Linked DNA regions of Danio rerio. The protein of the gene in region 1 purifies or fractionates together with the protein of each later gene. This does not show direct contact. Links are inferred from orthologs where the notes say so. Each region holds a gene or a part of one and is shown in the gene's direction. Other genes may lie near its edges.

What was found.
Region 2: the proteins of eya4 (region 1) and dctpp1 purify together in Homo sapiens (affinity purification with mass spectrometry; 3 studies listed by BioGRID and IntAct, with this or other methods). This does not show direct contact. The link is inferred for Danio rerio from reciprocal best matches to the Homo sapiens genes EYA4 and DCTPP1.

The regions. Positions count from the first base shown.
Region 1 is NC_133198.1:34,408,485-34,425,828, reverse strand, and holds part of eya4 (eyes absent homolog 4), read left to right. Parts: intron 1-862; coding exon 863-912; intron 913-5,467; coding exon 5,468-5,586; intron 5,587-9,081; coding exon 9,082-9,165; intron 9,166-9,377; coding exon 9,378-9,455; intron 9,456-11,874; coding exon 11,875-11,941; intron 11,942-12,102; coding exon 12,103-12,245; intron 12,246-12,866; coding exon of another isoform or gene 12,867-12,872; coding exon 12,873-13,016; intron 13,017-16,135; coding exon of another isoform or gene 16,136-16,138; coding exon 16,139-16,212; intron 16,213-17,344. UniProt on the Homo sapiens protein: Tyrosine phosphatase that specifically dephosphorylates 'Tyr-142' of histone H2AX (H2AXY142ph). 'Tyr-142' phosphorylation of histone H2AX plays a central role in DNA repair and acts as a mark that distinguishes between apoptotic and repair responses to genotoxic stress.
Region 2 is NC_133176.1:26,144,594-26,161,706, forward strand, and holds dctpp1 (glutamyl-tRNA(Gln) amidotransferase subunit B, mitochondrial), read left to right. Parts: upstream 1-8,008; 5' UTR 8,009-8,124; coding exon 8,125-8,616; 3' UTR 8,617-9,345; downstream 9,346-17,113. UniProt on the Homo sapiens protein: Hydrolyzes deoxynucleoside triphosphates (dNTPs) to the corresponding nucleoside monophosphates. Has a strong preference for dCTP and its analogs including 5-iodo-dCTP and 5-methyl-dCTP for which it may even have a higher efficiency.

The DNA.
Region 1 (17,344 bases):
CTTAACAAACAAATTTAAATATTTAGGCTAATGGATGTCTTCAGTGGAGTCTGTTCAACACCATTTCCTTATCCACAAAAGGAGTAAAGAGTAAAAGTGAAGAGAAAGAGAAAGTAAAGAGACCAAATAGAGGAGGAGGCTCGTTCTTTATCCTCGTGCTGCAGATGGTTTGTTTGACTGTTTTCTTGTTAGTGAAGCTTTTTCAGTTTTTTTCATTTACAAAGTCCGCCATGTAAATAGCAACTGCACTATGGCGTGATGCAACTGACTCTTAAAGAGAATGGGGGATGGGACTCTTATTGGTTTATTCCCAAAACACACCAATAACTCATTAAGAGAATAAGCTCAACCCTGTTAGACCATGCACCAGGGCGCAGAGCGCATTTTTCTATCCTTAAAATAGCAAAAGTGGATTCGGACACGCCTTTAATACTTTTTCTCCCTTCGCTTTAGACTTTTCGCCTAGATCGTTAAAATAGAGCCCCTGAGTGACAGTTGTCATAAGCATGCATAAAATCTTATTTATAGTCATGATGTCACATCATAACAATTTTACGAACAAGTAAAGTGATCTCAGTAAATGTTTAATGTTTGACATTTTGTCCCACTTCTAATAAATCACTGAGATACACAATGCTACTACATTACTGATATTTCTCTTATAGAGATACTCACCTCAGTCAGTTTATAGCATCTGCAAGTAATCATGCTCAAATGGCAGCAGTAGCTTCAAAAATCATAAACTGTAATGTCATCGCATTTAGTCAGATCTCGTCACATTTAGGCAGAGAAATCTCTTCAGCATGAGAAGAACTCAATGTTGTCTTTATACAGTGAATCCTCTTTTTCTTTCTTTCTGCAGGTGAAGAAATCCACCACTGATTCTCATGCTCCAGACCCAGTAGACAACAGGTAACATCAGTAACACACATTCACACACTCATACACTCCCCTGAAATCCATTTAGGTGTTATTTATGAGTGCCAGTGACAGAGGACTATGAGAGCCAGTGGTTTTGTACACATAAAGACAGAGGGGGAGATGAAGAGAGAGGGATGTTAAAGTCATTGTGTGTGAGTGTGGGTGTAAAGCAGACGGCTTCACCTGGATAAAACATGACTGTCTTACTGTGTGTGTGTACTTTGGGAAGCCTTCAGAAATTTCGTGCAGATGTTTAGGCCATAATCATAGAAATAGGAGCAGCTCTGTTTCTATCTCTGATTGCTGTTATATTGTTTTGGACCACTGTCTTTTGGATTAATGTGTCTACTAAATTTTCCATTGTGGAATTATTACATTTTTATTATAGAATAATTATGCATGGCATTGGATGGGTGGATATATGAAATATTTCTATGTAAACAATAGTGTTTTGTCAAAAAAGTGGCACAAAAATTTAGTTAATGCATTAATAATAATAAATAATCATTTGTCAATATTTATTAATGTTAGTAAAATAAATAAATAAAATACAACTGTTCATTTTTAGCTGAATGTTTTTATATTGAGATTTTTTATTTTGTTTAATAATGTAATACATGTTTTTGCCATTGTAATGCCATGTTAACTAGTAGTGATATACAATGTTAGCAAATGCTAACTGATTTTAAACTGAATTGTTTAAAAATTGTTTGGTAAAACTTTAGTTTAGGTCACAATTCCTAAACTAGGTCTTATACTCTCTTATTACCTGCTTATTATCATGATATTACCTGTTCATTAGTAGTTATAAAGTATAATCTTATCCTGCATCCCTAATCCTGCCCAAAACTTCTAAATTAAAATGGCCAACTTCTACCTTACTATTACCAAACAGCTTATTAGTAGTTTATTAAGCTGGCTGTGTAGGTTAATGGTTAGTTAATACTGTGAATTGTGACCTAAACTTAAGTGTTATCAATGGTTTGAATCACTTAATGAAACTTAGCTTCCAGTTCCAAGCGCTCTATCAAACTGTGTTTAATAACAGTGAAATGACACAAGGAGAAAGTACTGAACTACTGAAACATATTTGATTGTATAGGAAGACTCAACAAATGTTAATAATAAATGTTTTTAAAGAGCTGTAATGCTTTTGAAAATCCCGATCGCAATATATATCGCCATTCATAATATCCGATGACCAGAAAATGATTCATTTTTTTATAAATTGTTCTATATTGTTGACTGTGATGCAGAAAGTCCAGAGACTGTTGTGTACACCATGATTTCATATAAAATTCACATAGTTAATGTGTGATTGGACTAAAATAAGAATGGTCATAAACAAATATTTTCTCTCAATTCAAATGAGTAGTGGCGTGTACCTGGAAACACTATTTCTTACGTCACAACTTAACAAGCGGATACAACCTAAAGTCATGTTGGGGGAAAAAAAAACTATTTTTCTTTATTGTACATTGCACTGAAAGAACATAGAGTGCTCAGCATAAATAAGTACACCCCTCACATCTTTTTTTATTCATATTTTCTTTATGATTTACAATATATTTGTGTATATACGTTAGATTAGTCAGTACTGAAACCAAAACTAGATCCAATCTAACACAAAAAGACTTAAGATCACAGTCCAAAAGTTCGTTCATTGATTCATTTTCCTTAGGCTTAGTCTCTATTTCAGAGTTTGCCACAGCAGAATGAACCGCAAACCGCAAAAGATGTCCAGCTGCAACCCAGTATTGGAAAACAAATGCAAAAATTAGTATATCCAATTAATATGTTATAGTAAAATATTAATCAAAATACAAAAACCACAAGAAACAGAAAATATCAAATTTAGTTGAAATTTTGTAATTTGTTTTTGCAATAACTCAAATTTAAATGTATTTTCTTTCTATACCGAAAGATGTTAGGTGACCAAAATCTTATTTTAATGTTGAAAACTGTTTAATAAAACTGTTTTGTTTAAGTGCGCCAAAATTATATTGGTATATTTTCTGAGAAATATATAATAATAAAATAATAATATACATGTTCAAAAGAAGGTGTACTCATTTATGCTGAGCGTTGTATATTAATTTCTTACTATAACATTATACCATATAAACATTATACACGAAATGCCAAAAATGTTTATTTTTTAATTCATACCATTATTAAAGAATGCAGGTAGTTACGCTGCACATGTAATAACCTATTAATTTTCATGCGGGTGGCTTAATGTTAAAAAAAGTAATCAATATATGTGTCGCTACATGGATTTCTGAAAGAAAAAAAGTTAGATTGCCGATAAACATGACCTAGATAAATTGCTTTCCAGTTTTCAGAGGTAAATCCTTTTAGAAGATGCACAAGTCAGGACAGATGGTTTCTTTGGCAGATGGTTTGACATTTGAGCGAGGGTCATATTATCATTCTTATAATGCCTAAGCAAGTTTTTGCTCACATTTTCTGCTTGGTGTGTGTTGCGGTCATTTTAGGGTCACTAAGATATTTTTAAATTTAGCCAAGCGAAATTAAATTAATCAAAAGTGACAGTAAAGACATCAGCAGATTAGACTGACTTCTGAATGACATTTAATACTGTAGACTGAAGGAATTAAGTTTAATGCCCTTAAAATTATATAGATATTGTAGAATAATTAACTGGATGAGTTGTTTTTTCATATTACTATATTGAAATGAGCTCTATCATATAAGCAGAGAGCAATTACCCCAGGTGCAAATGTGAAAGTTACTATTTACAAAAGTTTAATACACTTTCAGAAGTAAAAGGACAAAATCTGTAACTGGGGCGGTACCTCTTCAAAATGTATATTTTTGTTCCTAACAGGTTCTTAAAGGTACAAAAGTAAACCTTAAAGGTACAATAATTTTCCCTTAAAAGTACTTATTTTCATCTGTACGGTACAAAAGTGTACCCTTTTGAAAAGGTGACAGATTTTGTACCTTTATTTCTGAGTGTGTATATAAAACACCGCAGTATTGTGTTGTATATTAATCACAGTTTTGCCAGTTTTATTCAGTTTTCCCAATGCCAATAATAGCAATAACACCTCCACATAACTGTAAATAAAATGTACAGCACTTTATTTTACTACCTCATTATGTGTAATGTCCATTTAATTTAATTTACAGTGGAATGTTTCCACTGTCACGAGTTCCTGAACATGATTAATAATGGTATATGTTTAACTTAGTGTGGATTTAATGTATATTAAGGACACTGCACTTTATAAGACCTGGGACAGATTCGGGCACTTCCTGTTGTTCACACACTCTGAAGTGGCCAAGCCTGCAGATGTGAATATGTGGACAGTCTTACATTTGTTACTAAATTAGTTTGTTATTTGAACAAATCTATTTGACGAATAACTTAATGTTTACACACAATAAAATAACTTATTAGTAATTGGATTGAATCAGGCAAAAAAAAAAAAGTCTTCCTGTAAACCGCTTTAGCTGACACTAATTTGAGTGTAAGGAGTGGTTGATTCATTCAGTAACAAATGTAAGCCTGACCAAATAGGCATATCTGCAGTCTTGAACGCTTTCATTTATTTCAGCAGACAACAGATTTTTAAAGGTTTGCATTGCCTTTTTTTGTTCACGGAATGACGTATTTTCAACACACTAAATATTTGCAATGCAACACACACCTTTAGAAAAATAGCATTTACTAGAATTAATGAATAAGTAAATTAATTAATTGTTAATTTTTGTTGTAAACAAAGTAATCAAAATGGTGGTTTTGGTTCATTTGTAATTTTGTGTGGTTTGATATGTGATTATCATCATGTGATTAATTAAATAAAAAATGTAATAATTTGACAGCACTAATTTTAAAACATGTTAAATCATAAAACACTAGTTTTAAACCATAATTTTACATTTCACAGCATTATAGTTTTACTGTATTTTGGTCTATAGTGACAGTCTTACTGTTTCTTTCGAAAAATATGTACTTCCAATTGACAGTTGAAATCAGAATTATTCGCCCCATTTGAATTTTTTTCTTTTTTTAAATAATTCCCAAATGATGTTTAACAGATTAAGGAAAATTTCACAGTATGTCCAATAATATTTTTTTTCTTTAGAAAGTCCTATTTGTTTCATTTCGGCTAGAAAAAAAGCAGTTTTTAATTGTTTTAGAAACATTTTAAGGTCAACATTATTAGCCTCTTTAAGCTATTTTTTTTTTTTGTTAGTCTACAGAACAAACCTTCGTTATACAACTACTTGTCTAATTATCCTATCATCCTGCCTAGTTAACCTAATTAACCTAGTTAAGCCTTTAAATGTCACTTTAAGCTGTATAGAAGTGTCTTAAAAAACCTCTAGTCAAATATTATTTACTGTCATCATGGCAAAGATAAAATAAATCAGTTATGAGAAATGAGTTATTAAAACTATTATGTTTAGAAATGTGTTGAGAAAATCTTGTCTCCGTTAAACAGAAATTGAGGAAAAAAATAAACAGCGGGACTAATAATTCTGACTTTAACTGTGCCTACTTTTTATGTTGCAGGGCTTTGGAGATGCAGGAACTTACAGATGTCCAGCACTCTGTTAACAGTGGCAGTGACGGCACTTCCAAACTGGACAAAAACATCCTCAGCAACAACATCACGACCAATGGAACCGGAGGTAAGACAAATAACGAAAGAAAGAAAGAAAGAAAGAAAGAAAGAAAGAAAGAAAGAAAGAAAGAAAGAAAGAAAGAAAGAAAGAAAGAAAGAAAGAAAGAAAGAAATGAGTCAGACATGAGTAAGACATGAGTGAGTGAGTGAAATATTAGCTGATAAACAGGCTCTTTCAGGAAATCAGCTGTGTTTCCATTCACTCTGTTTTCATTATATTGCAGTTTTTACAATAATTGAAAGCAGGGGTCAGTCCTGGTGTGTGATGCCTGGACTGCAAGAACAAAAGTGTTTCATGTTCATTGTGGTTTTGGTGCTGTTCAGAGCCGGTTTGGTGGATTAGGGTCAAGATGATCTGGGCTCAAATGGTCAATCGCTGCGGACAGGCCTGAAAAGTGCCTGCATGTAAAAAAGTTCATTTGTGCTGAAAGGTTTCCCAGCGTGTTTCAGCAAGAGCCTGGTGCACAGAAAACTATTTCCTGCGTTTAAACTCTCATTTTCTCTCTGATGTCAACACACGCTCGCTCGCTTTTCTCTCCTTGAGGAAAACGCTGAACAAACGTTTTAAGAGAGAACGTTAGGCAAACATACACAAGGCTAAATAGACTCTCAACACCCTGGCAAGCGAGTGTTTGATGTATGGCTATGACTAAGAGACGCACAAGAGAGGTAGTAAAGTTTGGAGACCCTGGAGAGAGAGAACGAGAGTGTGTGTGTGTGTGTGTGTGTGTGTGTGTGTGTGTGTGTGTGTGTGTGTGTGTGTGTGTGTGTGTGTGTGTGTGTGTGTGTGTGTGAGCTCATCTGTTTTTGACATGTAGCCGGAATAAAACAATAGCATAAGAGCGAGAGACTAAAAAGAGCAGAACTCAGTAAATCATTTAGATTAGAGCTCAGCTAATGATTTTAACAGCTTGACACACACACATACATACACACATTTATACACACACACACACGCACAGGGATTGTGCTTCTGCCAAAACAACGACATATTCAACATTCTCCTCTGTCTACCTCATCAGCTCACAGCCTAGACTGAATCCCTCCACACACACACACACAAACATGCAAACCGCCCACACAACCACCCACACACACAGACACACCACGACACACACACACACACACACACATCCTGACATGAATCCCACTGCCAGTGAAGCCTCATTCATCTTACTTTAGAGGACTTTCGCTCTCTCCCGCACAAACACACGTTAATTCCATTTTTTGGAATTGAGATGTTTTTTTTGTTTTTTTTTGCAAATGTGCCTTTGACAGAACTGTCATAAACTCAGCATGTTAAAACATGGTTTTGGAAAACTTCTATTATTTGTATGAACATATTTCTTATTTTAAGGGCACCAGGAGGTATAGATCTGTTGGCAAATGGTTTTGAGACTATACACTACCTTGTCACCTATTCTAGGAACAACAAATAATAACTTGACTTCTAGTTGATCATTTGGTATCAGAAGTGGCTTATATGAAAAGCAAAGGCCTCTAGATTACGCTTATTTTACCAAAATACAATATGATCATGCCTTGATTTTTTGATTATTTAATTAGGACAGTAAGGTCTGACTTTGCTTAGACAAAAGTCTTGTCACTTAACTGAAATAATGTACAGTGTAGAATATAAAGTCATGGTGCAGTGGAAAAAGAGTTAACATTGTGTATGACTCCCAAGCTTGGACGACTCCATCAGTGCATCTCTGCAATGACTCAAATAACTCATTAATAAAGTCATCTGGAATGGCAAAGAAAGTGTAAGGACTCCCAGAGTTCATCAAAATTCTTTGGATTCATCTTCAAGGCCTCCTCCTTCATCTTACCCCAGACATGCTCAACAATGTTTTTGTCTGGAGACTGGGCTGGCCAATTCTGGAGCACCTTGACCTTCTTTGCTTTCAGGAACTTTGATGTGGAGGCTGAACTATGAGAAGGGGCGCTATCCTGCTAAAGAATTTGCCCTCTCCTGTGGATTGTAATGTAATGGCACCTCAGGCTGTTGATGTTGTCATCCTCTCTGCAGATCTCTTGCACGCCCCCATACTGAATGTAACCCCGAACCATGATTTTTCCTTCACCAAGCTTGACTGATTTCTGTGAGAATCTTGGGTCCATGCGGGATACAATAGGTCTTCTGCTGTATTTGTGGTGATTGGGACGCAGTTCAATAGATATTTCATCAGAAAAATCGACCTTCAACTTTTCCAAATGATCAACTTGAAGTCAAGTTATTATTTGTTGCTCTTACAACTGAGATCGACAGCAAGAATTTTGTCAGGTAGTGTAATGAAGGAATTCTGTGTTTTGATTGTTCAATGGTTCAGATTCAACCTTTCACTCTTAAATAATGATTATAATCTCTTTGTAATAAATATTAATCATACTTATTATTAAAATGTTTCGACTCTTCATAAAAAAAACTATAACTTTCTGAAAATTATTCTTAAACAAATTAGCCAGTAATTTTTTTTTTCAGAATTCAGTTCCTATGGAAGTTAAGAAAGGATTAAGCAGGTGTGGTTTCATCACAGTAAATATCGATTAACTATTGATAATATTTATGCACTAATACATGACAACCAAAAATACAAACTGTTTGTCTTTATTTTTGACACTATTTCTTTATCATTTGAAATACAGAAATGTTTTATGGCTATGCTTGAAAAGTGTGTTTTAAATTAAAATTACTATATTAAAATAAACCAATAGGGTAACACTTTAGTTCGGGTCACAATTCACGGTATCAACAAATCATTAACCAAATGCTACTAGCTTTTTTAGCTATCTAGGCAGATAATAAACCAGAAGTTAATAGCATGAATTGGGACCTAAACTAAATTGTTACCAGTTATAGATATAAAAATAAAGGACTGTATTATTTATATTAATGATTTATAAATTTCATTAATGTGATTTAATAATGGGCGACACGGTGGCTCAGTGGTCAGCCTCACAGCAAGAAGGTCACTGATTGGGTCAGTTGGCATTTCTGTGCGGAGTTTGCATGTCCTCCTCATGTTTGCATTGGTTTCCTCAGGATGCTCTGGTTTCCCCCACAGTCCAAAGACATGCAGGATAGGTGAATTAAATAAACTAAATTTGCTGTAATGTATATGTGCGTGTGAATGTGTGTATGGGTGTTTCTCAGTACTGAATTGTAGCTGGAAAGGCATCCGCTATGTAAAACATATGCTGGATGAGTTGTCTGTTCATTCCACTGTGGCGACCGCTGATGAACAAAGGGAATAAACTTAAAGAAAATGAATGAATGGATGAATGAATGAATGAATGAATAATTTATTAAGATTAATGCTAACTTATTGCAACATATTTTGTGTATTGTGTTGTATATATTTTTTCTGTTTAATATTTCAGATAATTGCAATCTAATTACATGTCTAAATAGTTTAAAGGTAACTGTAAGTGCTAAATTCCTAATATTTACAACTAACTGGATAATACAGTCCACTATACATTTGACTCCGCCCCCCAGGAGAGAACATGACAATTCTAAACACGGCTGATTGGCTGCTGGGCTGCAGTTCCCCGCCCACTGCCCCAAGTATGAAGAATGATGGTATACTGCATGTGTTTGTGGAGTGTCTTATATGACAGCACGTGTGTGAGAGTTTGGGTGCAGTGCTTTTATTCTTCTTTCATTTTTTCACACTACTTTCAAAGTTTTTATTATTTTTTTTTTTTTTAGTTTTTAGTTTTTATTCAGTTTAGAGAGGTTTGAGAGCAGCTGACAGGATGCCTTATATGTTTTTTTGGTCTCTCTTTTTAAAGTTAAGTCTGAGCCTCTGAACAGCAGTGAAGCCGTGAGTTCAGCAGGAGACTCTGGGCTGGACACTTACACTGGGTCAGGTAAGACACACAAACACACACACACACGCATGCTGAATTCAGAATGCCTCCTATAATCCCGCTTGGGAACTTGGTGAAAGCTCTGAGCCCTCAATCTTTGTACTGCCCTTGAGCTAACGTCATCAGAGCCACAAACTCTTTATTTAGATCAATGTGCTCACACACTCACACATACACACGCACACACACTCAAAGACTGAGAAAGCCTCTGTACATGCGCACCCCTGCAGAGAAGGCTGAGGCTGACAGGGGATTTTGATGTCTCTATAGAGAAGACGATATTCGGTTATATGCAGTGTGGAAAATGTGTGTGTTTGTCTTATTTTCAGTAAAAATATCTTATCTTAAGAAAACATCAACTTTATAAGATAGGTACTCTGAGAATATAATGAATATATCTATTTTTTAGAGATGCACGATAAATCGGTGGCTATATGGTTATCGGCCGGTAAATGCTATTTTTAATGTTATCATTGTCGGTCCGATGTCAAAACTACGCTGATATTTTTAAGCACAATAAATGATGTCATTGTACAGAATTGCCTGCCTCACGTTTTGTTTTTTAACCTATTATTTTTATGCAACAGTCAATCACCTTGCAATTTTGAAATTATTGCTTTTTTTTGCTTTGAATATGCTTTTTTCAAGATCTGTTCAAACTTTTATGAAGTTTTTTAAATAAAATCAATTGTTCACTGTACAAACATTTTGAAATATTTATATTTATCAGCTAATATATCGGTTATTTGCAAGACAATGCAAATACACATTCTGCACACATTAAAACTCCTGGCTGCAGAGGAAGAGGAAGCAAGTACTTGACTGACCTGCCTGCAGTCCCGACTTGTTTCCAATAGAGAATGTGTGGCACCTTTTAAACTGCAAAATGCGAAAACAAAGATCCTGTACTGTTTCCCACCTTAAGGCTTGTTTGCAGGAAGAATGGAACAATATTACACCTGAAACACTTCATCACTTGGTGTCTTCAGTCTCTAAATGTCTTTTAAGTGTTGTGAAGAGGAATGGGAACATTACAAAGTGGTAAATGTTTTACTGAAATGTGTTGCACGAACCAAAATTAGTGTGTTAATTTAGTAAAAAAATATATATATAAAAATCATGAGAACAGTTATTTCTGAAGCAGGATTCCTCGTGACCATGCCTCAAGCAGTAAATGTTAAGATGCAGCAATGTTAATTCAGATGCTGTGCTCAAAAAATACTTTAGTAATTTATAGTAAGTACTATAATGTTTTTGAACTAGACAATAGTGAAGTACAATAAGTTGTAAAGGCTAAAGTATTCTATGGTAATTACTATTAGTTCATGATAGTTACTAATGACAGTATATTATGTAACGTTAGTGTTATTCATTAATGAAGAGTTGTAAATATATATACAATATAGTGCTTGTTCCTAAATATTTCCCTTTACTACAAATTACTATAGTGTTTTAAATGTGTAACACCTGGTTTTGTTGGATTTGTTTTTTATTTTTTATTTTTTTGCTGTTATATACTATGATTTGTTTCTATTTAGTACAGCATATTATTTGCCATAGGTAATTGAACTAAATAATTCTGCCTCATATGTTTCATTAACAGTTTTATTGATCACTTATGGAAAAAAAAGCATAGATGTAGCTAAGTTACTTTTGCCAAGTAACTTTTTGCTTAGCTTGCTACATTTCCTAGAGGGTAGCTTAGTGTAGTTAAGCTACATTTTAAGTAGACTAGCTAATAGCTCAGCTCACTACATTTTTCAAGTACTGTAACTTTCCCAGAACTGGTGATATGTGATGTGAATGTTGATGTAATTATGTGGTGAAGCCAAAGATAAGTTGATAAATTGAAGCCAAAGATAAACAATTAATAAAGTCATAGTCATAAAAAGTCATATTTTTTAATTTAGAAAAATACCATTCAGACATTTTATTGAAAAATAAGAAGCAGCATTGATTAAAATAGATGGAATAGTGGAATTGGGGAACGTTTTATCGAAGGAAGGGCTCAAGGAGAGAGAAGAGAAAAAGAAGGTAGCAAGAGGAACCAGGATACTCTTTGATGTAGTAGAAGGTTTTCGAGAGAATAGTTCCTGTTATTTTTTTCTGCTGTTTGTTAAATTAAATCCAGCTGCTGAAAAAGGCTGTGAACTGTCAATCAAAACAGTGTGTATGTGTGTGTGTTTGAATTTGAACTGAAGACTCTTGGCAAATTCCCTTCAATTGGAAGAAGTCCAGCACACATTTTATTTTATGGTTGTGATGTGCAATAAATTACACATTCAGTTCAACGACAACTGACGTACAGTCCTGACTGCGGATACATCCCATTGTTTAGGTGTGTGTTTGCCATTGTGCATGTAAAAATGATTTAGTCTCTCCAGCTAATTTTTTTAAAATTTTCTTTACGTTTGTATAGTCATAAGCAGCAGTGGATTCAGTCCCCGGCCGGCACACCAGTATTCACCTCCTCTCTACCCTTCAAAGTGAGACATGTTTATGAATAATTTAGATTGATAACACTAAAACCATTTTCTCTATGGCTCATCAGAGTTATGAACCAGCCAAATTAATAATGGCACTTTGTCAACATGGTTGCAATCCTTGATCTAATGAAATAAATGTTATGATTGTGTTTGATTGGCAGGCCTTACCCTCACATCCTCACTACCCCTGTGGCTCCGCCCATGTCAGCCTACACAGGCCAATCACAGTTCAGCAGCATGCAGCAGTCAACAGTTTACACGCCCTATTCGCAAACGACTCCACCCTACGGCCTCTCCACCTATGGTAGGTTTTTACCATTGTTTTTATACTGTATAAAAAAATTTAGAGACCACTTCACTGTTTATCCGGATTCACTACAGTAGATACTGATGAGTTTGAGTAAAATGTTAATATTTGTTTAATCTTTAAAAAAAGGTGTGATTAATTTTTTATAATTTTCTTTATTTATTTAGTTATACGATTGATCTTTTTATGTAAAAAGTTACATTTCTATTTTACATTTGGAAGAAATGTCATCAGAAGTTTACAGAATGACCAAAAATATATATATATATATATATTGCTCAAAGGCTTATCTATTTATACATCTCTAGAGAAACTCTGAATAAACCAATAATAATATTTCATTTTAATATTAAAATTCTCTTTTGAGAGCTGAAGTGGCAGTGTGCCGATTTTTTATTTTTATTTTTTACTTCAATAAACCAATCAAATCAATTTTAAGAGATATATTTTTAAATTGTTCATGTTTGTACATGCATTTTTTTGTACATATTTATGACTCTGCAATTGCGATAATAAGGCTTAGAATTTATTGTACTTCATGTAAATGTTGATGTAGAATCATGCAAAAGGACTTTTAGTGTGCAGTTTGATTGACAGGTCCACTCTCTTGATCTTGAGCTACAGATTTGGGGGTGATGTTGCCAGGGATAAAGACAGAAGGAGGGCTTACACAGACCCAATCAACCCTGCAGTCAGGGCTCAGCTACAGTCCTGGATTTACCACCCCTCAGCCCGGACAGACAGCCTACTCCCCCTATCAGATGCCAGGTATACATATTATATGGCTATGCTACAAAAATGACCATTAAGAACACAATATTCCTTTTTTAAGGAAAATTATTGTCAAAATAAGCCTACTCCTTGTGCTAATAAGAAGACAATAATAATCAAAAATGTGTGTTGTGCATTTTTTACATGAATTTGATGTTTTTAATGGTGCAGCTCACCTAAAAAAGGCCATTGTTATCATTATTTGCATTTATACATGTAATATTTTGTCAGGCACATTATAGTAGACATTGCTAAACAATCATTATGCATTATACAATAAAAGGAACTATTTTTTGTAAAATCTGAGTAATAAATAAAACATCAGATTGGGTTATGTACAATGCTAAAGTTAATTTTAAACCATTTTAAACCATTTGATCTAATTAAGATTTTATGCCATTTGCTCTATTTTTTCTGGTTGTGCTTATCTGGGATATTATCATAAACTAAACTAATAAAAATTTGTTAATTATAATGAATGTAAAATAAATATATTAGTTGGATATTGTAAAAAAGAAAATAGAAATGTTGCCTTGGAAAAAATGAAGCAAAAAATGATAGCATAAATCAATGTAATTATTTGAAAGAAAGCTAATAATAAATGACAAAAGCACATAACTAAAACTGCTAAAGAGAAAAACTGGAATGAAAACTGAACATAAAAAATGCTAATAGAAACTAAAAGTATATTAAAAGAATTAAAACAAAACTGGTAATTATCAATGAAAAATCTGTTTTTCACAAACCATTACATCTTCAGAACAACATAATAACCATGCATTATAAGCAACTATTATGGTATTAAGTTGCATTATTTGATGCTCTTTGATGCTTGAATGTTTTGAGACTTGGCTGTGGGTCAATTAATCAAGAAACCAACCAACAAATTTTGCATTGAAGAAACAAATTGGGGACTTCGAGGACAAGACAAACACTTAATACACAAATGCACTTTATTAAACATGTACTCATAGACATCACCTAAAATAACCAGGCAGTCACTTTATTAAGTTAACCTTACTAATACCGAGTTGGACCCCCTTTTGCCTTCAGAACTGCCTTAATCCTTCATGGCATAGATTCAACAAGGTACTGGAAATATTCCTCTGAGATTTTGGTCCATATTGACATGATAGCATCATGCAGTTGCTGCAGATTTGTTGGCTGCACATCCATGATGTGATTCTACCGTTCTATCACATCCCTAAGGTGCTCTATTGAATTAAACTCTGTTACTATGGAGGCCATTTGAGTACGGTGAACTCATTGTCATGTTCAAGAAATCAGACTGAGATGATTCACGCTTTATAACATTGTGCGTTATCCTGCTGGAAGTTACCTTCAGAAGATGGGCACACGGTGGTCATAAAAGGATGGACATGGTCACACAGCCTATTTGAATTGTAGCCTCAGTTTCTTGTTCTTAACTGACAAGAGTGCCACATGGTGTTGTCTTCTGCTGCTGTAGCCCATCTGCCTCAAGGTTGGGCCTGTTGTGCATTCAGAGATGCTTTTCTGCATACTTCGGTTGTAACGAGTAGCTATTTGATTTAGTGTTGCCTTTCTATCAGCTCGAATCAGTCTGGCCATTCTCTTATGACCTCTTGCATCAACAAGGCGTTTGCCCCCACAAAATTGCTGCTCACTGGATGTTTTCTCTTTTTTGTTCCATTCTCTGTAAACATTGGAGATGGTTGTGCGTAAAAATTCCAGTAGATCAGCAGTTTCTGAAATACTTAAACCAGCCTGTCTGGCACCAACAACCATGTCATGTTCAAGGCCACTTAAATCACTTTTCTTCCTCATTCAGATGGTCGGTTTGAACTGCAGCAGATCATCTTGACCATGTCTACATGGCTAAATGCATTGAGTTGCTGCCATGTGATTGGCTTATTAGAAATTTGCGTTAATGCAGTTGGACAGGTGTACGTAATAAAGTGGTCGGTGAGTGTACAGTTGAAGTCAGAATTATTAGCCCCCCTGTTGATTTTTTTCTCTAATTTCTGTTTAACCGAGAGAAGATTTTCTCAACACATTTCCAAACATAATAGTTTTATTAACTCGTTTCTAATAACTGATTTATTTTATCTTTGCCATGATGACAGTAAATAATATTTGACTAGATATTTTTCAAGACACTTCTATACAGCTTAAAATGACATAATAGCTTAATTAGGCATGTTATTGTATAACGATGGTTCGTTCTGTAGACTGGGCGACGCAGTGGCGCAGTAGGTAGTGCTGTCTCTCACAGCAAGAAGGTCGCTGGTTCGAGCCTTGGCTGGGTCAGTTGCCGTTTCTGTGTGGAGTTTGCATGTTCTCCCTGCGTTTGTGTGGGTTTCCTCCGGGTGCTCCTGTTTCCCCTATGCACAGTCCAAAGACATGCGGTACAGGTGAATTGGGTAGGCTAAATTGTCCATAGTGTATGAGTGTGAGTGTGTGTGAATGTTTCCCAGGGATGGGTTGCAGCTAAAAGGGTATCCGCTGCGTAAAAACAAGCTGGATAAGTTGGTGGTTTATTCCGCTGTGGCGACCCCGGATGAAGAAAGGGACTAAGCCGAAAAGAAAATGAATGAATGAATGTTCTGTAGACTATCAAAAAATATATAGCTTAAAGGGGCATATATTGTAGACCTTAAAATGTTTTAAAAAATTAAAAACTGCTTTTATTCCAGCCAAAATAAATCAAATAAAACTTTCTCCAGAAGAAAAAATATTTTCAGACATACTGTGAAAGTTTCCTTGCTCTGTTTTTCTGCTCTTGCATTTGGGAAACATTTAAAAACAAACAAAAAAAATTTAAAGGAGGGCTAATAATTCTGACTTCAACTGTGTATGCTACAAAATTACAGGTTAACTTTGCCTGTATATAATAACTTATTTTTGTTTGTATCTTTAACTTAATTTGATTGTAAGTATTTTGCACCTTTTGTAAAGCTGCTTTGAAACTACAGTTATTGTTAAAAATCGCTGTACAAAGAAACTTGTAAGTTGTAATAAAAGATCTATAATTTATCTATTTTGATGTTTTGCTTTTGGTGATGCCTGCTGCAAGTCTCTTTCACAACTTGCATTCATTTAAATGCTGTCATTTGTATTTTCTATCTTTCTCTCAGCAGGTTCAGGTTTTACAACCTCTCCTGGTCTCTACACTTCCAACAACTCCAACCCAGGAAATTTCACCACACAACAGGTACAACTGCACATGCACAGATGAACGCACACAAACACCAATAACGTCAGAGTTCAGCACCGGACCAGCCTTACAAAACAACCTAGGCCTCAGAGAACAGGTCACCATCCTTCATGCAAGAGAATTGATGCTTTTAGGACTTAATGTTTCCCTAAACTTTTATGATTAAAAGTGCTGCCAAAGAAAAGGACCCAGCTACACTCTGACTCCCACTGATGAATTTAGCTGTGTAAACAAAGCAAGGCTCTGGCGATGGTTGAAATGAAGGAGTAAGCGGAATTAGGATGAAATGAGAGTGAACGCAGTAGTGGAGTTTCTCGGAGAGCGTTTTACTGCGCCGTTCGTGTTCTTGAGCGAGTGAGTCAGTGACAGCTTTAGAGTTGCCTCCCGTAAGAGATCCACATGTAAAACTCTCTCGCTCAAAGATACAAGAGGAGTCAGGGAGTGATAAAAAGCTCTGTGTGGAGGAGCCAGAAATCTGTATGTTCCAGTCCTGTTGCCTTGTCTCCTCTCCCTTTATCGTTCCCCCGATTATCAACTCCCTCTCTTTCTTTTTTATTCAAGATAAAGAGAAAACCTATATACATTTCGCGTTATGCTAAATTATAAAGCTAGATGTCAAACTGTGGTGTTTATTTCATTCACAGTAAATTGGCTACAAAAACTTATGAATGATTGCTTTAGTCCACTGAGCGCACATTGACCTTTTCAAGAGTTTACACTTAGATATTGCTTGATACTAATAGCAGGTATAGCATGCTGTCCCAGGAGAGAACCCTGAGCTCGGTAGTTCTCGAGAGCTCCCCCTGAGAAAGGAGGAAAGGGGGAAATGGGGTGGATGATAAAGGAAGTGACGTGAAATGGGTTATTTATTGTAGGTTTGGATTAATCTGTTTGTTTATTAATGATTGCAGATGAGAGACCAGCCGTGATCAATCATATCACATTCTCCTCTCGAAATTAGTATATCAAACTTCACTTATGGCAATGTTCCTATCATGCTATATCACTAATTTGACATTAAAAGCCTATTGAAGGCCTTTGAGTATCATTTAAACAATTAAATAATTATGAGCAACTTATGAACATCCAAATATGTAAAAGGTTGCAACGAATCAGTTTATGTATAATA
Region 2 (17,113 bases), on another chromosome or scaffold:
TTTCTACTCTAAAGAGAAAAAAAATACAAAAGAAAAATACCAAACATTTTTGTAATGTAGTTGTTATATCATAAGTGTCTTTCAGACAGAGGTTCAGCAGTATTTCACTATTTGTTCTCTTTAAAAGGGAAATATTTTGCTAATAGCTTAGATTTACATTAGACAATTACATTTTGTTTTTTATTCGTATTTTTTTATTAATTAATTAATGTAATTATTTATTCATTGTTCTGTCATTTATTTTCACTGTAAAAGTATTACTTATGTTGAAATGCCAAAAACTTTTCACTTATTTTTAAGTCAAAAAAGAGAAATTAACTATTTCTTTTTAAAATGTATTTATTGTTTTGTGCTGTATTAATTGGTTACTGAGCAGCAATAAATAACACTTTAAAATTTAAAGAGTTTTCACATGATTTTCTAAACTAGTAGTGTTTTAAAAATAAATGAATGCCTAATATTTATGATAACCGTGAAGCCATGATTATTTTTCAGACTTTAATCGTACAAACAAAATCTAAAATCAGTGCATCGATAGACAAAAGTTGTTTTGTGGTATTTATTTGGTGTTGTTTAAAGAACTGCATGAAAATAATCCTTTATTCATCAATAATATAAGCCTGTAAATATTATTAGTGTGAAAAGAAACAGAAGTTGTTGCCCTGTTGCGTTCATTTTACCTAGAAACTGCAGTTAAATGTATGTTAATATAAATAAGTTTTTTTTTGTTTAACAAAAATGTAGGCTGAAGCACAACCTTTTTTCAACACATTTCTAAACATATGAATTTTAATAGCTAATTTCTAATAACTGATCTCTTTTATATTTGCCATGATGACAGTACATAATATTTCACTAGATATTTTTCAGGACACGAGTATTCCACTTAAATTGCGATTTAAAGGCCTAACTAGGTTAATTAGTTTGATTAGTTAATCCAGGGTAATTAGGCAAGTCATTGTTTTTTTTCGGTAGACCAGTGGTTCCCAAGGGGGGTTTCACAGGACAATGAGGGAGGGTCGCTTGGCAATTTCCAAAAATCTAATTCCTTTTATTAAACTATTAGAATTAGCATATTTATCCATAACCTATTGAAGAACAAAATAGTAGTTAATAGTAACATTGTTAAAATGTTAATGATAACTATTAAAAAACAACATGCAAATAAAAAGCCATCAGCCTTTCTATCTTTTTTTTTGCAACCCATAGGGTGATTACGTTATATTAAAGACAATATATTAAATATATATATTAAAGCAATAGCGCCAGATGCAGCACATTCATTTTATAGCACCAGGTTAAACTTTCTGAGCACTCACATACATTAAAAATATAATCAGGCTACAAGTGGAAAAAACTGGGAAAAAGTTCTTGTCAAAAATAAAAATTAATTTTTTTTTCTGCATGAATACTATACAGATCGAGAAAACCAATACCAGAACTTGACTGTTTTAAGCTTTTAAGAACTGACTGTTCATTCATCTACATTAGTGGCAGCTATTCTGTTTCTTGCCTGTTCAGCATGGATTGCCATCACTTCTTTATTAAAGCTCGAAGAAAGAGAATGTGATGTACTGAATATACGCGCGTGTGTGTCTGTTTGACAAACGATGGATTAATAAAGCAGCTAATCAAAAATAACAACCACACAGACTGGGAAGTATAAGAAAGATGTTCTTGTCTATTGCATTTGTGTCATCAGCACTTCTATGCTTAGGAAAAGGAAGATAAAATGAAGAAGTGCTGACCAATTTATTAAACACCCACATGTGTGCAGTTAGGACAACTCACAGGCATGTCTGCATAGAAGTAATGCTTCCTATCGAACAGTGACTTCTTGTTTATGGTGCAGTTGAGAGCAAGGCCTGTTAATACAGCAGCCTCCACACATCTTCTGTTCAGCACCTTAGGAAATGTAGTGGTAAGACATAGAACAACCTCTATAAATGCAAAAATACATTATACAGTGCATTCGGAAATTATTGATAGCACTTCACTTTTCCCACATATTTCTATGTTACAGCCTTATTACAAAATTGATTCATTTAATTTATTTCCTTAAAATTCTACACACAATACCCCATAATGACAATGTGAAAAAAGTTTTTTTTTAAATTGTTGCAAATTTATTAAAAATAAAAACCTGAAAAATCTCAAGGATATAAGTATTCACAGCCTTTGTCGTAAAGCTTTAAATTGAGCTCAGGCACATTCTGTTTCCACTGATCATTAATTAATTAATTGGAGTTCACCTGTGGTAAATTCAGTTGATTGGACATGATTGGAAAAGGCATACACCTCTCTATATAAGGTCCCAGGGTTGACGGTGCATGTCAAAGCACAAACCAAGCATGAAGACAAAGGAATTGTCTGTAGACCTCCGAGACAAGATTGTCCCGAGGCACAAGGCTGTGGAAGGTTACAGAAAGTTTTTGCTGCTCTGAAAGTTCCAATAAGCACAGTGGTCTCTATCATCCGTAAGTGGAAGATGTTTGTAACCACAAGGACTCTTCCTAGAGCTGGCCAGCCATCTAAGCTGTGTGATCGGGGGAGAAGGTCCTTAAACAGAAAGGTGATCAATAACTCGATGGTCACTCTGTCTGAGCTCCAGCGCTCTTCTGTGAAGAGAGGAGAACCTTACAGTAGGACAACCATCTGTGCAGCAATCCACCAATCAGGTCTGTACGGTAGAGTGGCCAGATGGACACCACAGCCACCTGGAAGCCACCAAAAAATCTTTGGTCTGATGAAATTGACTAAAATTGAACTCTTTGGAGTGAATGCCAGGCGTTACGTTTGGAGAAAACCAAGCACCGCTCATCACCAGGCTAATACCATGCCTACTGTAAAGCATGGTGGTGGTGTTTTTCAGCAGCAGGAACTAGAAGACTAGTTAGGATAGAGGGCAAGAGGAATTCAGCAATGTAAAGACATCCTGAATGAAAACTTGCTTCAGAGTGCTCTTGACCTCAGACTGCGGCGATGGTTAATCTTCCAGCAGGACAATGACCCAAAGCATACCACCAAAATATCAATGGAGTGGCTTCACAACAACTTGGTGAATGTCCTTGAGTGGCCCAGCCAGAGCCCAGACCTAAATCCTATTGAACATCTGTGGAGAGATCTAAAAATGACTGTACACCTGTCACTGTTGTGGTTGGGAAAAAGGAGCGTGGACTCAATTGCAGAAAATGATATGGGTTTTATTAATGATAAAATACAAATAAAACAAAAAGGCTAAACAAACTACCCCGAGGGGGAAAACATTACTATAACACAAACAAACTTGGCTGGGCTGGCAAGACAAGACTGGAGCAGGAGCAGGAACACAGCGGGAGTATAGAAGACAAACTGGCACAGGACAGCAGACATGAGGAGAATATAAACAGAAGCAAATTAACACAAACAGATGAACATAATTAACTAATAATGGGTTAACAAGGAGGGTGGGATTAGACAATAGACGGGAGAGCACATGACACAGAGACAACACAAGCCATGTGCTCACATAAAACAGGACAAGAACAAACAGCCAATGAGAGAACTCATTAACCACGCGTTCACAATAACAGGACAAGACTGAAGCACGTGGTCACAATGTAAACACAGAGCCATGTGCTTAGACGCAAGACACGAGCACACGATAGATGAACACCTTACCGTGCGCTCACACATATGTCTCATCTCAGCGTCAACCAAAACCGAAACCAACTAGACAAAGATGCTGAGAATGAAACAGCACGATGCCGACAGAACAAAACACAAACACGAGTACAAGAGCGCGCGTCCGAGGCACGCAGAGCTTCGACACCTCCGACGGTGTGTACACACAGAGACACACGCACAACGACAGAAACAGGACAAGACAGAGCTAGTGTCCGGACTCTGCCACCAAAACAAGAATTTACAAGACCAGAGTGGCAGAACCCTGACAACACCGTCACTTCCCATCCAACCTGAAAGAGCTTGAGTGGTTCTGCAATGGGCAAAAATTCTCAAAGACAGGTGTGCCAAGCTTGTGGCATCAAATTCAAAAAAACTTGTGGCTGTAATTGCTGCTAAAGGTGCATTAACAAAGTATTAAGCAAAGGCTGTGAATACTTCTATACAGTACATGTAATTATTCAGTTTTTATTTTTAATAAAACTGCAACAATTAAAAAAAAATCACATTGTCATTATAGGGTATTGTGTGTAGAATGTTAAGAAAATAAATGAATTTAATCCATTTTAGTAGAAGGCTGTAACATTAAAAATGTGGAAAAAGTGAAGCGCTATGAACACTTTCCAGATGCACTGTATATACAAACAAATATGTTTATTTTATTGATTCACTTACTGGCAGTGTCCCTGGTAATGAAGCATCAAAATGAGAGACAAGTGAGTTTGGTGGATCAGAGAAACTAACATGAGATCCAGAAAAGAGCTTTGATTTGGAGTGAATCTGAGCATGGATTTCTAGACCCACAACACCGACCATCTGAGGAAGACTAGAAAACATAGAAAAATTAATGATGAGGAGGTCAAACCTGAAAGTTTCTTTCATAATTAAGGCATTTCGAGAATATTATAAAATGATTAAATAAATTATAAAGCTAAATGCTGGTTTCATAAGGATTTAATTTTGGTGAGACCAGGGGCAAGATTCACTAAAACCTTCAACAGAGGTACGTTAAGAAATATATTAAGGCAAGTAAGGCAAGGCAAGTTTATTTATATAGCACATTTCATACACAGTGGCAATTCAAAGTGCTTTACATAAACAGGAATAAAAAAGACAAGTTTATTAACATAAAATGCAGACAATAAAAATTATTAAAAACAGATAAAAACAAATTAAAATGAGTTAAAATAGGTTATAAAAGAATGAAAAAGAAAACGAAAAACATAATAGTGTGATCTGTCGGACGCAGCACAGTGCTCATTCAGTAAAAGCACAGCTAAACAGATGTGTTTTCAGTCTTGATTTGAATGTGCCTAATGTTGGAGCACATCTAATCATTTCTGGAAGCTGATTCCAGCAGTGAGGAACATAGTGACTGAAGGCAGATTCACCCTGCTTTGACTGAACTCTTGGAACTTCTAGTTTATATGATCCTAAAGATCTGAGTCATCTGTTAGGTTTGTATTCAGTGAGCATATCTGTAATGTATTGAGGTCCTTGGCCATTTAGTGATTTATAGACCAGTAATAATACTTTAAAATCTATTCTGAATGTAACTGGCAGCCAGTGTAGAGACCTGAGGACAGGTGTGATGTGCTCTGATTTCCTGCTTCTGGTCAGAATTCTGGCTGCAGCATTCTGGATGAGCTGCAAGTGTCTGACTGTCTTTTTGGGAAGGCCAGTGAGGAGTCCATTACAGTAATCCACCCTGCTACTGATAAAAGCATGAACAAGTTTCTCTAAGTCTTCACTAGAAACAAAGCATCTGATTCTTGCAATATTTTTCAGATGATAGTATGCTGATTTACTGACTGCTTTGACATGACTGTTGAAACTCAGATCTGACTCCAGAGTCACACCAAGATTCTTGACCTTATTTTTTGTCGTTTGACCTTTAGAGCCAAGGCACGCATTCACCTTGAGAACCTCATCTCTGTTCCCAAACGCAATGACTTCAGTTTTCTCTTTGTTTAACTGAAGAAAATTTTGGCACATCCAATTTTTAATTTCACGTATTAAGATAAACTCTGAGGAGTTCTTAAGAATTTTCTTAAGCATAACTCTTGTAAAAAAAAAAAAAAAAAAAAACTCAAGTGGAAAAGTGGATTTCTTTCACATATGAATAACTTTAAAGTATAGTCTACAACAAATCATTATAGCTTATGTCTTAGCATCAAAATTAGCATCAACATCACAGTCAGGTTTTTGACATTAGCCATCAAAAGACAATTTATACACAGAAAAAAATGTAAACTACTCATCAAATTAGACATGTACGACAAGAAGAGAAGCAAATTGCATTGATGTTGTTGTTGTTGTCTCTTTTGGTCAGATGGCCTCTCAATTTAATGTCCCTAAAGCTAATTTTTTCAGATATTTACAAATTCAAGATTCTGTGCGCAAAAAATAATTGCTTCAGATCTGGACACCATACTGGGCATAGATCCCTGTGCTAAATGTTCAATTTCTAAATTATTTAATATAATTGTTAATCTGCAATTTTCTTCTGATAACTACTGGTCCATCTGGTCTCGAGACATTGGAGTTGACATTAACGAGCGACAAGGAAAGCGGTCTCGAACAGGGTTAATTCTTCCTCTGTGCACGGCACATGTCCATACAATACATGGTAGTGCATATAGCTCATTGGTCCAAGAGCAGGCTAGCTTGCATCAACCTGTCTATTGACCCTGAGTGCGACAGGTGTCATACTGGTTCAGCTACTCTTATCCATATGTTTTGGTCCTGTCCTTTACTCTTGTTGTCTGCTATTACCACTGTTCAAATTCCACCTTGTCCAATTATTGGTTTATTTCGGGTTATCCTACCCGGGCACACTTTACCCTCTCATTTGCTAGAGTTTGTAGCCTTCTTAACCCTTCTGGCTAGGCAATTATTCATCTAAACTATTTTCATTAAACTGTGAGAACCCCTTCGCAAAAAATGGCCAAACTCTTCAGCTTAACCCCTTTCTTTCTGATTGAGTCCACACCCCCTACTCCCATATATACATGTATATAAAATAAATTACTGGACTGCACGTGTGTTATCAGACTGTGTGTACAGTACATCCACACTTGATTACTGACCTTGACTTTTTGTGTGCCTTGTTAATGTACATTATACTGTGTCATTAATACCACAATTGCTGGCTAATAATGTGCTTGTTGAAAAAAATATTTAAAGCTTTATCTGCCTTAAAACAAAATATATGATTATATTCCTTTAAATGAAATTTATCACAGTTCGTTAATAAAAGTACATTCAAATATATTTAAAGGGCAGAATGGCAATGTTAGTTTGCAGTCTTTTATTCTTTATATATATATATATATATATATATATATATATATATATATATATATATATATATATATATATATATATACATATAAAGAATAAAAGCTGGCTGGGTAAATGCTTGCTGTGTACTTATATATAAGTACCCAGCTAGCAAAGTTCACAGTTCACGGAATATACTTTATTCTTTATATATATATATATATATATATATATATATATATATATATATATATATATATATATATATATATATATATATATATATATATATATTATAAAAGACGGCAAACTAACAATGACATTCTTCCCTTTAAATATTAGAATGTACTTTTATCAACGAACTGTGATAAATTTATTTAATCATTTAAATTCATCCATCATTTAAATTCATCCATCATTTAAATTCATTCATCATTTATTTAATAATTTAAAGGAATATAATCATATATTTTGTTTTAAGGCACATAAAGCTTTACATATTTTTTCAACAAGCACATTAGCCAGCAATTGTGGCATTAATGACACAGTAACATGTACATTAACAGGGCACACAAAAAGTCAAGGTCAGTATTAAAGTGTGGATGTACTGTACACACAGTCTGATAACACACGTGCAGTCCAGTGATTTATTTTATCAGAGCCGAGAAAGACTGCTTACATACGGGTCACATTGGAGTGATTGTCCTACCTACAGAGCACTTTGCAGGACACTTGATGCCTACCTTTCAGTCTGTGTATTTAGCTGATGTTGATGTTTGCATCCGGTTGTCCATGTTGTCCTTATTATGAAGTTAGAATTACCAATATGGCATAAACTTTGTGATTTATTAGCATATTTCCTCAGCCTGAAGAGTACACCGCTGTATCCTGAAGTGGAGGCTGCCATGCTTGTGTTTATGTGAGGGCAGCTGGGACATGTAGTTTTACGGAGCATTCAGAAACTCGCAACTCTGCTGCTGAATGATAAGGAAAAAACTCAACTCCCACAATGCCACAAGCGCAACGGCGGAGTTTCCGGCGGTTACTTATGACGGCATTCACGATCCGCGAATACATAACTGAGGGGCAGCTGGTGGCGGGAGATTCACGCACGGTACTGCACGTGAACGATCAGTTTTTGGCACTTCTATATCGTCAGAACTTTTTATTTCAATAACAATGGCACTGCAGCACAACGGCACCGCTTCCAAACTGGCCAAACACAACGGCGAAACTAGCGATCATCACCCCTCTACAAACGGAAAGGAAGAAGCCGAGCACGAACACGCTGATCGGTTCACTTTCACCTCCGAACCAACACTTGAAGACATCCGCCGCATGCAGGCTGAGTTCACGGACGAGAGGAACTGGAACCAGTTTCACCAGCCGCGGAACCTGCTTCTGGCTCTGGTAGGAGAGGTCGGCGAGGTGTCGGAGCTATTCCAGTGGCGTGGGGAGGTGGCGGAGGGTCTACCTGACTGGACCGAACCGGAGCGGGAGCATCTGGCCCAGGAACTCAGCGACGTTTTGATCTATCTGGTTGAACTGGCCGAGAAATGCCACGTTGATTTACCTCGAGCTGTCCTGCGCAAAATGGCATTAAACCGACTCAAGTACCCAGCTAGCAAAGTTCACGGATCAGCTAAGAAATACACTGAATACAAGGACTGATGTGGATGATGTATTTTAGACAAAGACGATCGTTACTGAATAGTTTATAACAGATGGAGCTGATACCGAGTTCCTTAAAACCCCCCTAAAATCACCGTGCTCCTAAAGGTCCTAGTTTTCTTCGTTTAATCTACAGGTGGACACTCTACTCTGTTTTAGGTTGATCTTTTAAAAATCTGAATGCAAGAAACTTGTTTGCACATTTTCCTACTGTAAGCAGCTAAAGTTTTATAGTTGTTTTCTTTTATTTTCCAAATTATTTTACCAAAGCTGTTCTGGACAACGTTACTTTGTACTGTGTAGTGTTTTTGCATGACAGTAAAGTGTTTTGCAACACACATGGTCTGTTTGCAGATATTTACTCTGGAAACTGGAATGTTTTTGTTATAACAGCTAGATACGTTGGCTCTCTAAGTGTTCAGTGTTTTGGATGTGCATGAACCCTTAACAGTATAGCATCTTAATATATGGTCCCTCAAGATGCTTCCTATTCTGGCAGAAGATTTGAACCTGCACTCAAGTCTATATATATATATATATATATATATATATATATATATATATATATATATATATATATATATATATATATATAAACTGCATGTGCGATTATGATCAGGATTGCAGTTAAACTTTATTCTAACAATCTGTCTTTATTGATTAAACTGTTTCCGCAAAGACATGTCATCGGTTATGTGGTTGGTAATAAAAAAAAAAAAACACTTTAAAGGAGGAAATCTCTGTACCAGTAGTGCATTTGTATGCAATTTAATTTGGCCTCAGCATTAAAGTTAGGCAGAGCTCCCAAAGTACTGCTAGAACAGCTTTTTTTTTAATTAAAAAAAAATATATATATATATATTTTTTTTTTTTTGAAAGTTAGTAATATTTTCATTCCTTTTCTTTTCTGGGGTTTTTACAGTGGAATGAACACCAACCTTATCCAGCGTATGTTTTACACAGCAGATGCCCTTCCAGCTGTAACCCATCACTGGACAACAAAAACATCCATACACACACACACACACACTGCTAACAATTTAGCTTACCAAATTCACCTATAGCGCATGTCTTTGGACTTTGGGGGGAAATGGAGCACCAGGTGGAAACCCACACCAACACAGGGAGAACAAGCAAACTTCATACAGAAACACCAACTGACCCAGCCAAGACTCGAACCAGCAGCCTTTTTGCTGTGAGGCGAACGTGCTACCCACTGTGCCACCGTGCAGCCTAGTAATATATTTTAACTTGGGTAAATGTTTTTTAAAAGATCCAATTTCCTGTCAAAAAAGTTTGTATAGTAATTTTTATTTTTTATGTCTTTTATAGTTAAAACCAAATAAGCCAACACAATTTTGTGTAAGAACAAATATTTTGTGAAAGTACACATTTAAGAGATATTCAGAAATGCATTTCTTAATACTGAATATATTAGTTCATAATGACTGTTACCTTGTTGTCCACTTGCATACTTCACTTACACAATCACAACTAATGCAGTACTGTGCTTATTATGTAACCTGAAAGTTAGCATGACTTGTTGCCTCAACAAAAGCTGAATAGGACTTTGCCTTTTGTGTTATGGCAGAATGACTAAACCTTTTGTTCAATATGATAATCTGCACTGCTTTTAGTAACTGTAAACCAGGGGTGTCCAAACTGAGTCCTGGAGGGCTGGTGACCTGCTGAGTTTAGCTCAAACTTGCTTCAACACACCTGCCTGGAAGAATAGTATATCTAGTAAGAGCTTGATTAGCTGCTTCAGATGTGTTCGATTGGGGTTTGAGCTAAACTCTCCAGGACACTGGCCCTCCAGGACCGAGATTGAACACCCCCTGGACTAAATAATGTGGAGTAAAAAGCTAAAATTAGGCTACACAATGTAATGTTTCACAATAAATATCTGTTTTCTGTACAATAATTTGTACAATAAACAAACAAAAAAAAATCTTCATAAAACTGCGGGGATCAGGGACCTGTAAAGCAAGAGTTGTATTTTAAATTAGCATATAGGAGATAATGCAACATCAACCTGTAAAAATAGTTTACCAAACAGCACATGGCTCCATATTTCATCACAGTGTTGCATTGACCCTTTTTATTCAGTGTTTCACATGTGAAAGGTTAACAAGTGCTGATTACATGAAGCAGCCTGAAGTTGGTATATCGGTTATCAGCTAATTATCGACTAGCTAATCTGTTTTCGCTAGTGAACTCCTGATTGAAATAATTTGAAAGTTGACAATTTACTCGCCCTTAATTGGTTCCAAACGTTTGAGTTTTTTTTTTTTAATTTCTGTTGAACGCTAGCAAAGATATTTTGAAGAAAGTTAGAAACCTGTAAACATTGACTTTTTTTAAGCAGGAAAAGCATATACTATGAAAGCCAATGGTTATTGTCGATTTAAAACATTTTCCTGTTTTTAAAAAATAAATAATAAAGTAAATAATGCCAGAATTCTCTATTTTAGATGAACTACTACTTTAACCCTACACTTCTTTCATATTTTAGTATTTTGGTTCAAATTGGGTCACTCTTAACCTGTTGTTGAGAACAAAACATGTCAACATTCATATGGAAGCTAAAATCCATCATGACAGCTCTCACTGGTTACTTTGGGAAAAGATGGATATGGAACTCTAACTAGCAAAGTTAAGTTCTGGACACATAATTAAAACGGCTCAATAGTAGATGTTTGGTCTCCTGAGCTGAGTGTCACATTATTAAGATGCTCATGCACTCAGGAGCAACATTAAGATTGAAGACTGTTAGATGAACCATTTGACAAAGGCAAAGCTGGCCATTGTGGCACAGATGATTTCGGTGCATGTATAGCATATTCAAGTTCATCATTAGATTATTTAAATGTTCATTTTCATAATTAATTTTTTTTCCCAGAGCCTTTTCTTTACAGAACTGCATTTTCTCACTGCCCTGTTACTGATCACACATCAGAGCAGGGTGTGATCAATAGATTTGATCTTCTTCCAGCTCTCTGCTGCCGGTCGAAGAGGGCAATCATCAGCATTCCATTCTGACTGGATTTAAAAGATTCATCTGTTTTATCAGATGAGCAGACTGTTAGATAAGCCCTCAGCAAATGAAGCTGTTTTTATTGCAGTTTCAAAGCAACAACAGCATAATCCAAATGATGCTAAGAACTTGCATCTCCCAGACACCGTTGATCTATTGTGTGTATCTCTCTCTCTATGGGTCCACCATGGTGGGGGGCAGAGTGAGCTGTCAGCATCTTGCACCATAGGGGACGCAGTACTGCTGCTTTCTCCCTCGCTCTGTGATTTTTCATGCCACTCAGACTTTAGTAGCCAGACAGTGATTTTCCCAGCATCTGTTTTTCATTTGATGTCATTCAGAGCTGACTATGGAAGGCCTGCCACAGTCTTTGTCACTCTTTCAGTTCTGTACACAAATGTCAAAATCCAACATGCTCTTTCTTCTCTCTTGACAGCTGAAAGCATTCTCAGAATTAAAAATCTTGAAATAGTGCTTTTAAAAAGCTTATTTTGGCCTATTCTTAAGAGTTGATAGGCGTTTTTCCAAATCCACAATAACCGGTTTCTTTGAATGGGGCTATTTTCTTTTGAGTCGTATCATCAAGTCTTATTTATTCCCTGAAAGAGAAGTCCACAGGGAATGAAAACACCAACTTCTCTTGCCCTTTTCACAGGCTTCTCATTTCATCCCATTTCTCCTAATTTCCCCTAATTACACTCATTCTAACGGAGATACCACAAAACAGACTGATTTTTGATAAGATTTGTATTTGTTATTTGTATTCAGTTCACCACAAGACATATAAACATGGAATTCCTCTGAAATTTGACTGAAATGTCAAGATTACAATAGTGCTATTCAGAATTGCATATAAAAAAGAGGTCAAATTTAGAGGGCCACAGCAGCAGAATATAATATACTGTAAGACAGAAACAATTGTCTGGTTTTGAATCCATTTATTCTTTTTTTTTCATGGATACAACAACCTTACTCTATTTCACTAGTAAGGAACCAACAAACTGTGCCAGAGGACTAAACTCCCATAAAGAGACAATCTATCAATATGTACACTCATCGGCCACTTTATTAGGTACTCCTTACTAGTACCAGGTTGACCCCCTTTTGCCTTCAGAACTGCCTTAATCCTTTGTGACATAGATTTAAAAAGGTACTGGAAATAATCCTCTGAGAATTTGGTTCATATTGACATGATAGCATCACACAGTTGCTGCAAATTTGTTCGACTGCACATCCAAGATGTGAATCTCTCGATTCCATTCCACCACATCCCAAAGATGCTCTATTGGATTGAGATCTGTTGAATGTGGAAGCCATTTGAGGACAATGATGATGGGTACACTGTGGTCATAAATGGATGGACATGGTCAGCAATAATACTCGGGTAGGCTGTGGTGTTGACGCAATGCTCAATTGGTACCAATGGGCCCAAAGTGTGCCAAGAAAATATCCCGCACACGATTACACCACCACCACAAGCCTGAACTGTTGATACAAGGCAAGATGGATCCATGCTGTCATGTTGTTGACACCAAATTCTGGCCCTACCATCTAAATGTTGCAGCAGAAATCGAGAGTCATCAGACCAGGCAACGTTTTTCCAATCTTCTATTGTCCAATTTTGGTGAGCCCGTGCGAATTATAGCCTCAGTTTTCTGTTCTTAGCTGACAGGAGTGTGGTCTTCTGCTGCTGTAGCCCTCAAGGATGGACGTGTTGTGCATTCAGAAATGCTCTTCTGCATACCTCGGTTGTAACGAGTATTTGAGTTACTGTTGCCTTTCTGTCAGCTCAAACCAGTCTAGCCTTTCTCTTTCCTCTGGGATCAACAGGCATTTGCGTCCACAGAACTGCCGCTCAGTGGATATTTTCTCTTTTTCGGACCATTCTCTGCAAACCCTAGAGATGGTTGTATGTGAAAATCCCAGTATATCAGCAGTTTCTGAAATACATCTGTCACCAATAAACATGCCACATTCAAAGTCACCTAAATACCCTTTCTTCCCCATTCTGATGCTTGGTTTGAACTGTAGCAGATCATCTTGACCATGTCTACATGCCTAAATGCATTGACTTGCTGCCATGTGATTGGCTGATTAGAAATTTGCATTAACCAGCAGTTGGAAAGGTGTTTCTAGTCAAGCCCTGTACAGTTTTAAAGAACCCTTTTTTATTAGTAAGTTCATTCACTTCGCTATATATATATATATAAAAAAAACATACTTAAACAGCACTTTGTGTAAACAATTTTTTTTTTTTTTCTATCCGCTTGTTAAGTGTGATGTCCCGCAAAGCGGCTTCTGGGTCTAAGCGCTCTATCAAACTGTATGGGGAGACTCAACAAATGTTAATAATAAACTTTTACAAAGCGAAAAAAAAAAAAAAATAAAAAAATAATATATATATATATATATATATATATATATATATATATATATATATATATATATATATATATATATATATATCCCTAATATCCGATGGCCTGCAAGTGATACATTTTTTATAAATTGTTAAAATATTTGTTTTTGTGATGCAGCAAGCCCGGAGATTGATGTGTACACTATGCTGTTATATAAAATTCACTTTAATGTGTAGTAGGAATAAAAATTGGAAATAAACGAATATTTTCTTAATCACGATTTTCATCAATTCAAATGAGTAGCGGCTTGGACCCAGAAACAGTATTCCATACATCACGACTTAACAAACGGATTGTATTAAAAATTTTTGTTTTGCACCAATAAACAGGTTGTAATTTCAAGAAAGCCACAATATTGTAAAATCTAACAGAAAAACTTGACTCTAGATTGAACTTCAAACTTTAATTGTCTTTAATATATATATATATATATATATATATATATATATATATATATATATATATATATATATATATATATATATATATTTTTTTTTTTATTTTTATTTTTTTTTGTCAGCTAACTGCTTATTATATTCAGCTCCATGCCTCCTTTCGGATCCAAACTAATCCCCCTGCAGCTCTGAATCTGTTGTTCTGAGGTGTCGTCCGTATAGATCCAACAGAACAACCTTTTCCCACAGGATGAAAATGAAAGGCAAGAGTGCACTTTGTAACATCCAGTCAGTCAAATCAAAGCGTTGTACTGTGGAGATGGAACAGCCCTGTATGGGGAAAGAGCAGTTAGTGAATTTCTCACAATGACACTAAAGTGGCACACGTTCCCAGAGCAATAACATCAGCACATTTTCAGTAATGGCTCTGATGACTTCAGTCTCAATATAAGTGGACCAAAGCATGGGGCAAACGCAACTCAGATTCCATCACTTATTTCTCACAAATCCATCAAAGGTGTGTAAGAACAGGATCAAAGATGAAGTAAAAGTGTACTACACAGCAACAATTTAATTAGAGATTATAGTAATATTTACAGAGTCCCTGTTTCAAAATATCTATCTATCTATCTATCTATCTATCTATCTATCTATCTATCTATCTATCTATCTATCTATCTATCTATCTATCTATCTATCTATCTATCTATCTATCTATCTATCTATCTATCTATCTATCTATCTATCTATCTATCTATCTATCTATCTATCTATCTCAATTCATTTTGAGCAAGAGACTGGCTTTTGCAGGTTCTCCATGGTGTTTTGCTATTTTTATGTGTTGTTTTGCAAAATTTCAATTCTGATCTGAGAATTGTATACCAAAGCGATTGAGAAAAACTCTAATTTAAGATATTTCACTCTGGAAATAGTTTTATGGTTAAAACTAATAAATAAATAAATAAATAAATAAATAAATAAATAAATAAATAAATAAATAAATAAATAAATAAATAAATAAATAAATAAATAAATAAATAAATAAATAAATAAAATAAAATAAATGATAATAAAACATTTATAAAATTGAGGAAAAAACCTTGTCAAAGTTCTTAATAAAATAATTTTAACAATATCAACAAAACCTTTCATTCAAAACCATTTTAAAGACAATTTCAAGTTTTTTAAAAAGAAAAAACTGTCATGTTTTTAGTATTAATTTTACAATTTAATTGTAAAGCACTTTATGCATTTTCTTGGGAGGTGCTCTAGAAACAAACATTACTTGTGCGTTTTAGTTTCCTTCTAAAACAAAATTATGTTACTCAATCATTTGCTGTTTATTTATTATTTTCTACTCATTTACTTTGACTTAATTACCAACCAAATCTGCTTTTTTCTTATTTTCTCATGTTTCCATCTATCTATATACTATAAGTTTAAATTAGAATTTAATAACAGATTCTAATTATTCATACTTTTGAGTGATGCACACAGAGAGTGTCTTTTTATCTAGCTGTTGCTGCTGTAGCTCTGTAGTTTCCCTCTCAGGATGAAAGACTCCAACTGACGTCTCTCTTGAGAGGGCGGCAGACCATAATGGCAATCTTGTATTCAAGATAGTTGTTGCCATGTAGGATTGTTGCTATGGAAGAGATTCCAATTGACTTGCTGTACTAGCAATCAGAACGGACCACCGGTTGCCTGAAAGTTGCCACTAGAGGGCATTTTTCACATGCGGTGCATTGCTTGGAATATATGACTGAAATGAATCAAGTTTGAGTTTGTGATACATGTAGATTCATGTAAACGCAATTAGTTTGGAGATATTTTCTTGGCTTGTGTGATTATTACATTTATACATTAAGAGACTTATTTGAATACACAAACAGAGTCATTTACATTGCATTTACATTAAATTTATGCATTTAAAAGATGCTTTTATTCAAAGTGACTTTCAAGTGAGGGATACAACAAGCGATTTGCCATAAAGAGGTAAAATGAAATACAAAGTTTCAACGATTTTTAGATAATAAAAGCCAGAATAGGGAGTTTTTTTATTTTCAAATGATTCTATAATGTTCATGTTCCCGACTACTAGCAGTTCAAACTTGTCCTCTCTAGAGGGCATATGCAAACTTGAATATCTCCCACCTCCTGCTGTAAAGATGGCATTTAGGACTTATAGAGGTGGGGTTAAGCAACATTTTTTTCCTCCTTAGAAAATTATGCCATCTATCACCACAAGTATATGGGAAAATGAAAAGTAAGTGCCTAATAATTTTTATTGAGCAATTTGTTTTCTTGACATGTTGACATTTGTTTATGAATCTTCAAAAGATTGATTAACTTTGTAATGTATTGCAATATTATATTTTATTTACTTTATTGCCACTATAAGTTTATTACCTTTTCTCAATTCTTTCTATTGAGCAGGAAGGCATTCACTGCTAGAGGCGAAATAATATATGTAAATTTTTGATGAAAAGTGAGAATTTTGAGATTGTGTACAAAGCACATGCATCAAGGTGTCGTAAATCTGGTTTTAAAAACAAAACTCATGTGATGTCTACTGAGTGATAGCAAATCCATTGTGTTTAAAAGATCCTTTCAGAAATATTATTGATCATAAATCAGAAAAAAAT